2 linked regions of the Coturnix japonica genome follow. The protein of the gene in region 1 purifies or fractionates together with the protein of each later gene. This does not show direct contact. Links are inferred from orthologs where the notes say so. Each region holds a gene or a part of one and is shown in the gene's direction. Other genes may lie near its edges.

What was found.
Region 2: the proteins of PEX1 (region 1) and PEX26 purify together in Homo sapiens (affinity purification with western blotting; 3 studies listed by BioGRID and IntAct, with this or other methods). This does not show direct contact. The link is inferred for Coturnix japonica from reciprocal best matches to the Homo sapiens genes PEX1 and PEX26.

Annotation. Positions count from the first base shown.
Region 1 is NC_029517.1:20,660,557-20,664,380, reverse strand, and holds part of PEX1 (peroxisome biogenesis factor 1), read left to right. Parts: intron 1-895; coding exon 896-1,028; intron 1,029-1,810; coding exon 1,811-1,907; intron 1,908-2,387; coding exon 2,388-2,558; intron 2,559-3,043; coding exon 3,044-3,198; intron 3,199-3,824. UniProt on the Homo sapiens protein: Component of the PEX1-PEX6 AAA ATPase complex, a protein dislocase complex that mediates the ATP-dependent extraction of the PEX5 receptor from peroxisomal membranes, an essential step for PEX5 recycling.
Region 2 is NC_029516.1:50,688,449-50,692,323, reverse strand, and holds the end of PEX26 (peroxisome assembly protein 26), read left to right. Parts: intron 1-727; coding exon 728-831; 3' UTR 832-3,220; downstream 3,221-3,875. UniProt on the Homo sapiens protein: Peroxisomal docking factor that anchors PEX1 and PEX6 to peroxisome membranes. PEX26 is therefore required for the formation of the PEX1-PEX6 AAA ATPase complex, a complex that mediates the extraction of the PEX5 receptor from peroxisomal membrane.

The DNA of each region.
Region 1 (3,824 bases):
ATAGTAGAAAATGCACGAGGGAATGGGAAATAATGAAAAAGAATATTAGTGAAAGTGCATTTTTTTTTTCCTTTTTGAATTGAGTCAGATCCTACAGCCTGATTCTGCATCATTTGGTATTTTGACTTGTGTCAGGCTCAGCCCTTTCTATGATATTGCTGCTGTCATTTGTATAAGGGCAAACAGTGGTGCTGTATAGTGAACTTCAAGTGGGGTTAAGAAAGAGGGGACTCAAGAGACTTGTGGTAGTATGCTATTGACATTTTGAAAGGCGACTGAGAACATGAGCTTGATGAGGCAATGGGAGCTGACCAAGGGGTAGCATGGTAGGGTAGGGATGTAAAAAAACAAGCTTTATTTCTTCATTTTGTTTTTCACAAATACAATACAAAATACAAAACAGGCAGCCTTGCTGGTGGTGAACCTGAAAGGGGCACTGTTGTGTCAAAAGACACAAAGATTTGAGACATGTGAAGGATAAAGATGTCTGCAAGTGAACTACGTGCTGCTTTAGTCCTGAAAGGCTGGGTTATCTGACCCAGATGTGCACCATGTGTTAGCAATTCATTGTATTCATTAAGAGGCTGTTACTTGGGCCTTCAACGAGGTGAAACTCCAAAAGCTGAAGTTAGCTCTGTTGTCTGAGACCCACTTCCTGCTAGGGTGATATACATTGAGTGATTAATTGTTCAACAAACAGAGGTGATCTGCTTTGTCTGTGCCCCCTGTGTGTTACCTCTACAGAATAAAGGTGCTGTCTTTTCAGGTTTAGTTGTGAAAATACGCATTAATTTGCATATTCAGTATCAAAACCTCACTATACTACGATTATTAATATTTACATCGTGTGTGCTGATGCTACTCTAGGCCATTTAATGTTTTATGTGCTGTTCAGGGGAGTGGACAAATTAGGAGCGTCTTCTTTTGAACACATAAGCCACAGTCTTTTGGGTCGTCCTTTATCTCAGAAGCTGGCTGGTATCGCTGTGGGACTGCGAAGTGGAGGGGTGCTTCTCACAGGGGGCAAGGTATGTGTTCTACTGCTTTGCACTTGCAAACTCCTCCTCAGCGGTCTTCCACAGTTACAGAACTGTTTTCATTAGTTCTCTTTGTCACCATGTAAATTCAAGGAACTAAAGGACAAGCTGAAAAACAAGCAGTTAGCTGAACAGAGTTGATATGGTAGAACATTATGTATGTCCTATTACATTATATATTTGCAATTACTGTGTGTATATGTGTGTATATATATACACACGTGTATGTGTGTTTTATGTACATACACATATATCCATCTATATGATACTATGATGATATATAGGTAGTTATATAAATTTAAAGATTGGTAGCAATACAATTTCAGTTTATCTCCATAGGTTGTTAATCTACTGTATGTTTATATAGTGGGTACTTCTTGTCTCTGAAATACGTGAAAGTAAGAAGACAGTATTTTCTCTTATTTTCTAACTAACATAAAATGTCAGTATAGTCGATGCTCTGCTATGAGCGTCTCTTGTAGTGGCATTTAACACTAAATTCCATCATAATACAAACAACACTGATAAAAGTGGAATCACAGCACTGTTTGTAGTGGATGTAACCGCTCCAATTTTGACCTAGGCTTGTTTCAGCCTATGGCTTCGGTCCCTACCAAGTGATGCAGAGCCAGAATAACTGTATGATTCTGAGGAGTAAAACCAAAGTGCTCCCAGCCCTCCCAGCTCAGCTGATGTATATTTGATAAAAATTCTACAGAAACAGAAGCATGTAGTTCTGTAACTTATATATTAGCTCACATTTATTTTTACAGGGAAGTGGAAAATCAACATTAGCAAAAGCCATCTGCAAAGAAGCTTTTGATAGACTGGATGCTCATGTAGAAGTAATTGATTGCAAAGCTTTAAGAGGTATGGTAGTACCTGTTTCTTTATCAAACAATTGCTTTATGACAAAGAACCGTAATTATGAAGTTACCATATCTAATTTTTCTGTTTTATTGTTAAATTTCCTTTTGCAAGGAATCTTATTTCACATCTGTCAGCTTCTGTCCCTCATACCACCACTGCATTCAAACCACTCTTGCCATGTTTATTTTAAGGTGATAAAATGAGGAGAAAGTGGCAGGATTAACTGCGTGTTTCTTCAGCTGTGCTGGCTGGAACAAATGTAAAAAGTTAAGTGTTAGGGAATGCTTGTGTTAGTGAAAGTAGGTTTTTGATAGAACATGTAGCCTCATGCTGATTCTGCTTTAAAATAGGTATCTGGATTTATAGGAGCGCATGTAAGCTAGCTGAATCCAAGTATTGGTATATTACTTGAGCAAGATATGACAGTCTTATCAGTCATATCCTGTTATGTTTTGTCATTAAACTTTGTTTATCTTTTAGGAAAAAGATTAGGAAACATAAGGAAAAATGTAGAAGAAGCTTTTTTAGAGGCATCATGGAGACAACCATCCATTATTTTAATGGACGATCTTGATCACATTGTTGGAGTACCTCCTACACCAGAGCACGAGAACAGCCCAGAAGCAGTTCAGAGCACTAGACTTGCTTATGGTAATGCTCCACTACCTGTATCTGGATAAAAGTGTAAAGCAACCTAGAATTTCTGGCACCTCAGTTGTACTGTCCCAGCTGGATAACTCTGTCTCTATCATTATTGCCTCTGAACAGTGTGGTATGTTTCTAGATTGGAGTTCATACCGCAGAGGAATATTGTTTAGTATCCTGTGGTAGATATCATCAGTTATTTTGCAAAAATTTGGCTTTTTAAACAGCACTTTTGATGACATTTAGTAATGGAATATACTGTCCCAGAAAAAATAATTGTATTGTTTGGTTGGGATGCTTGGAGGATTTTCATTGTATTAATTTGGCTTGGTTTTGTTATTTTGTTGTTAAAAAAGTCTTTAAACGGAAGAATAAAGAAAATATTTTGTATTTTTTAATGTTTTTTATTTTCTCTGTATATAATGTATGTAATCAAATACAGAATCTTTTTGTTACTTTGCAATTCCTTCAGCAACGTCTTCTCTGTTTAGTTTTGAAAGATCTGATAAAAGAAGTTATTTCCTTGGGGAGTTTGATTGCATTGATTGCTACAAGTCAGTCTGAACATGCTCTACATCCTTGCCTGGTTTCAGCTCAAGGAACTCATATATTTCAGTGTTTCAAATGTATCCAGTCACCAGACCAGGTAAATCTGGGCATTTATTAATTTGATTGCAATGTTGTTTGCTTTCCCTGCAGACTTAAATACAATACTGGGGCAGCTACAGGAATTGTAGGTTACTCTGGGGGATGAGAAGAAACCTGGATATCTTAGAAACTATTTAATGATAGATACTGCAGAACTCCTGTGTGACATTATAAGGCTAAGAAGTAAGCCAGTGAAAATTCCCAGCTGGTCCTATTATCCTCAGTGGAGAGAAAAAAGATGTTATTTTATTCAAAGGATGGTTCAGTTCAAACTAAGTTAGGCTGTCCAAGATAAGTGAGATGTTCTCTTGTTACCTGTAAGGGAGTTCTGCAGAAGCAACTTTGAAAGAACATGTAGATTACTTAGTTAGATAAATTAGACTAAGCTTAAGTGTGTTATTGTGGAGGTTTTTTCTGCCTCTCAGAGGAATAAGTATGTGCTAACATGTTAGTAATGTTGATTACCTCTCAAAATGTTATTAAAACTAAATTTTTTCAGCAGGTTTGGGATTATTTTTCTATATTAATTATATTTAATTTGAATATAGTACCTTTTGGAACAGGAAAAAGGGAAGAATAAACAGTATGACCTTATTGCAGGAGGCAGTAGGCCCTTGTGGCATG
Region 2 (3,875 bases), on another chromosome or scaffold:
TTCCAAAAGACAAAATGCTGACAGAGAGAGGCAGGCTGGGGTACCCTAAGGGGTGCAGCTTCTGCCTCGGTGGCTTTGAGGTGCTACAAGGTGAAAGTCTCTTGGCAGAGCAACTGCAATTTAGGGCTGACCTGTCAGGGAAGCAGAGTTGCTCAGGGGCAGCATCATGGTCATGCTTCTGATTTTCTTATACTGAGGCCTTACAAGTGATGGCTGAAGCTGGCATAGAATCATTGAGGTTGGAAAAGGCCTCCAAGATCATCCATCCAACCATCTACCTACCACCAGTATTTTCCCACTAAACCATGTCCCCTAGTACAGTGTCTACATGTTTCTTGAACACCTGCAGGGATGCTGACTCAACCACCTCCCTGGGCAGCTTGTTCCACTGCCTGACCTCTGAAGAATGGGCTGGTTGCGTGACACAGAGGCTACTGGGCTGTGGAGGGATTGCATGTTTTTCGTACCTGGAGATGCCCCTTCTGCTGGGTGGCAGGTGCTCCATAGCTGTGCTGCAAATAATGTGTTGGAAAATACTGAAAAGACCTTGCTAGGTAAGGGAGCAGCGAGGGTGTGTAGGCAGCAGGGTGAGGGCCTAAGTACTGAACTGAACAGAAGGAAATAAGACACCTAGGTTTCCATTAGCTGTAGTTGAATTAGTCCTTTCTTAATATGTTTGGTCTGTTTCAAAGGGTAGAACTATCTTGCTCTTTGTTTTGCTCTGCAGCTTCTCCTACATCCCTGCCGTTCATTTGCAAACTGGTGCAGCTCTTCCGACAGGCTTGGGCAGCTGTGTTGTCTCCAATCCACAGGCCTCCAATTCAAGACTAAATGTCTTCTGCCTCTGCTCCTATGTCAGCTTGTCTTGAGGACTTTATGAAGTTCTTCAAGGACCGTTGAAATCAGTGTCCTAGTGCAGATGACCACCTGTGATCTCCTGTGAAGTGGTCCTCTCCTTCCTTCAGACAGGGAGTGGTGGTGTATGAATTTTGAAGCCATGCCAAGTATTCCTGACATTACTTTGGCTATTTGGTGCCGTTCTGTCCAACACCAGAGTAAATCCACTCCTTCTGTAATCTACAACTAATTAAGATCCTCCTTTTGAAACACTTTACTTTGGTTGTGGCTCTTGAGTGAGAGTTGTGTAGACAGTTATGAAGTATGATGCCTGTTTGGAAGATGGTTCCATTCTTGCACATATGATGCAGTTCCCTGAACAGCTGAAACAGCATTCCTGGAATCAGGAATGTTAAAAGCAACAGTGTAATTAGGGGGAATATTCTTTTGAGCCTGATGACATCTCAGATCCCAGTTCTTCTAGCATGGGGCTGAGGACAAGCACATGGAAGAAAAACACTGCAGGAAATGAAGCATGTTGTGTTTTGAACACCGTGGTTTCTCTTGTGACTGATGCCTCCTCATACAGGCGCTCTTGATTTTAATTGTATCTATGGCAGAAAGCCGAGGTGGTGTGCTACAAGTACTATTGTGCTGCACCTACAGATCTTAAATGCAGATTATAGTACCTTGTGCTTGCCTGGTGCATGGTAATCTGTAGGAGCCTGTGCCAGTGGTAATGAAATTTATTTTTTTAAATTATGTTCCACATTGTTGTCTAGTTGAACCACTGAGCTTGTTGCATTGTTTTACTCTTTCCCCACCTCTCGCTTTGTTTATGAAGATGTCAGCAAGTCCTAGTATGTCTAGAAACCTTCCTCCTATGCCCATAAAGTCCTAATTTACATGGTAACCATTCAGCAATGCTCTGTCATTCAGAGCAGACAATTGTTTGGTCGAAACTCTGAGATCCCCACAGCTGTGGCAAGAAAGTTACTGTCTTTACAGAAGGTCTTACAGTTGATGCTGTTTCTGATCACCTGGGGCAGAGATTGGAGGTCTGCAGGAGAACAATTAATTCCCACTGATTAGCAGTGAGTGAGTGCCAAGGGAGAGAGCACTATTTCAGGATTGCTTCTAACACGCTGCATGTGTGCTGGAGAAAACAAGTTAGAGCCATGTGGCAAATGTAGCCAGCTATTCCTGCATCTGTGCCAAGATGATTCAGGCTGACCAACATCCACCTTAGAGAAACAAAGTCTCCTTTTTGGTTGGGCAGTTTCTATCCAACACACCAAGCCTGTGTAGGGTAGCCAATATAGGTCCCACTGCAGCATCTTACTGTGGTATCCTCCTTCAAATCAATCATTTGTTCCTAGCAATGGTTCTGCACATGTAGTGGCTGTTTCAGTTTTCTTTACAAGGACAGCAGCCTGTTGGTGTGCTCTGTCACTTTGCAGCCTACCAGGCTATGTGGAAAAGTCTGTGTCTTTACTGCTAAAAGTCATGCTTTGTCTATATTGTTCTTGAGTTATCCTGATAGAGAAGTACCCTGGTGTTCGTGTGAGATAAAGTGGAGCACCTATGAATGCAGGAAGCTGTCATCACCTTGCCTAGTTATCTCAGGTAAACAAAAAAGTAAAACTACAAGACATTCCTATCCTCTCTCCCCTGGAATTTTTGTCTCAGTTGGACTTAACAACTGAACAAGTAGCACACAATGCTTCACCCAATTAAAAATATATATTTATCATATACCGTGTATACGGGGAGGAGCAGTTCTTGATACTGCTAGATGATATATGTCATCTAACTATCAGTGTAGCCACACTTCCCTGCAGCCAGTGCTTGGTGGAAAACCAGGTAGAATCCAACACAGAGGGTCTGGCTGGAATTGAGTTCTTGCAGAAAGTGACTGGATTGCATCTACTGGCCACCTAGTTGCAAGACCTTGCTCTAAAGACTTGGTAAACCAGTAGTTCATGAAACAATAAATTTCCTTTTGAAGTCAGACTAAATTCTAAGCAATATGTGACCGTTCAGCTAACAGCCACTTTTTAAATCTCAGTTTCTGTTAACTCTTCCAGTTAAATGGCAGAGCTGCATTATGGGGAATGGGTTCAGAGGGCAGACCATATGTTATGTGTAGAGCTCCATTAAATATCACAGCCATTCATTTACCAGAACTCCAACATTCAACTTGTTTTTATTGGTACGTTGGCAACCTCCACTTCTTTTGAGTACTACTGATACTGGATTTGAACTGTGTTTAGCTTTCCATGAGAGGGATGAAAGCAGAAACAACCGATCTTTCTTTTTTTGCAATGAATGCTAAACCTGCAATATTTAATTTTTACAATAAAATAAAATGACTACTCATTTACCTCTTTGTAGAGTTGCTTATTTGTGCTGTGATTAAGTGTATCAGAGCTTTAGCATTTAATATATTCATGCTGTAGAGCCTTGAAATAGGTTCTGGAAATGTTTCATATGTGTCCTCGTTGTACAAGTATATTGGAATCAGGTAGCAGACTTGCTAATTAAGTAGAGATTTACATGTCTGCATTTTCATAGGAGTTCAGAAAGTAATAATTATTTTCTGTGAAAGATGCAATATATATATATATATATTTATTTAAAATATATTAAAATATATATTTATTTAAATATATATATATATATTTAAGTGTTTCTATATCCTTTGGGATGGCCAAGATCAGAACTACTGAGAATAAACTACCTGGTACTTGTCTTGATCTTTGTTTTTCTTTGCATTGTTAATGTATCGTGGAGGGAAAAGATGCAGTTGTGTTAATTCCATTGGAATCCTACCACTTAAGGCTTGTTCAGAGAGGATATTTGTGCTTGCCACGTGCATGCAAACTTCACACTGGTATCTCCAGATGTAACAGCAAATGTTCTGCTTTTTGTTCTGGCATCCTCTGTGAAGGAAACAGTTCGATATGTGAAGGAAACAATCGTACGACGAATCTGTTACATTCTGGTTAGAAATGCCAGCTACAACTTTTTTTTTTAAA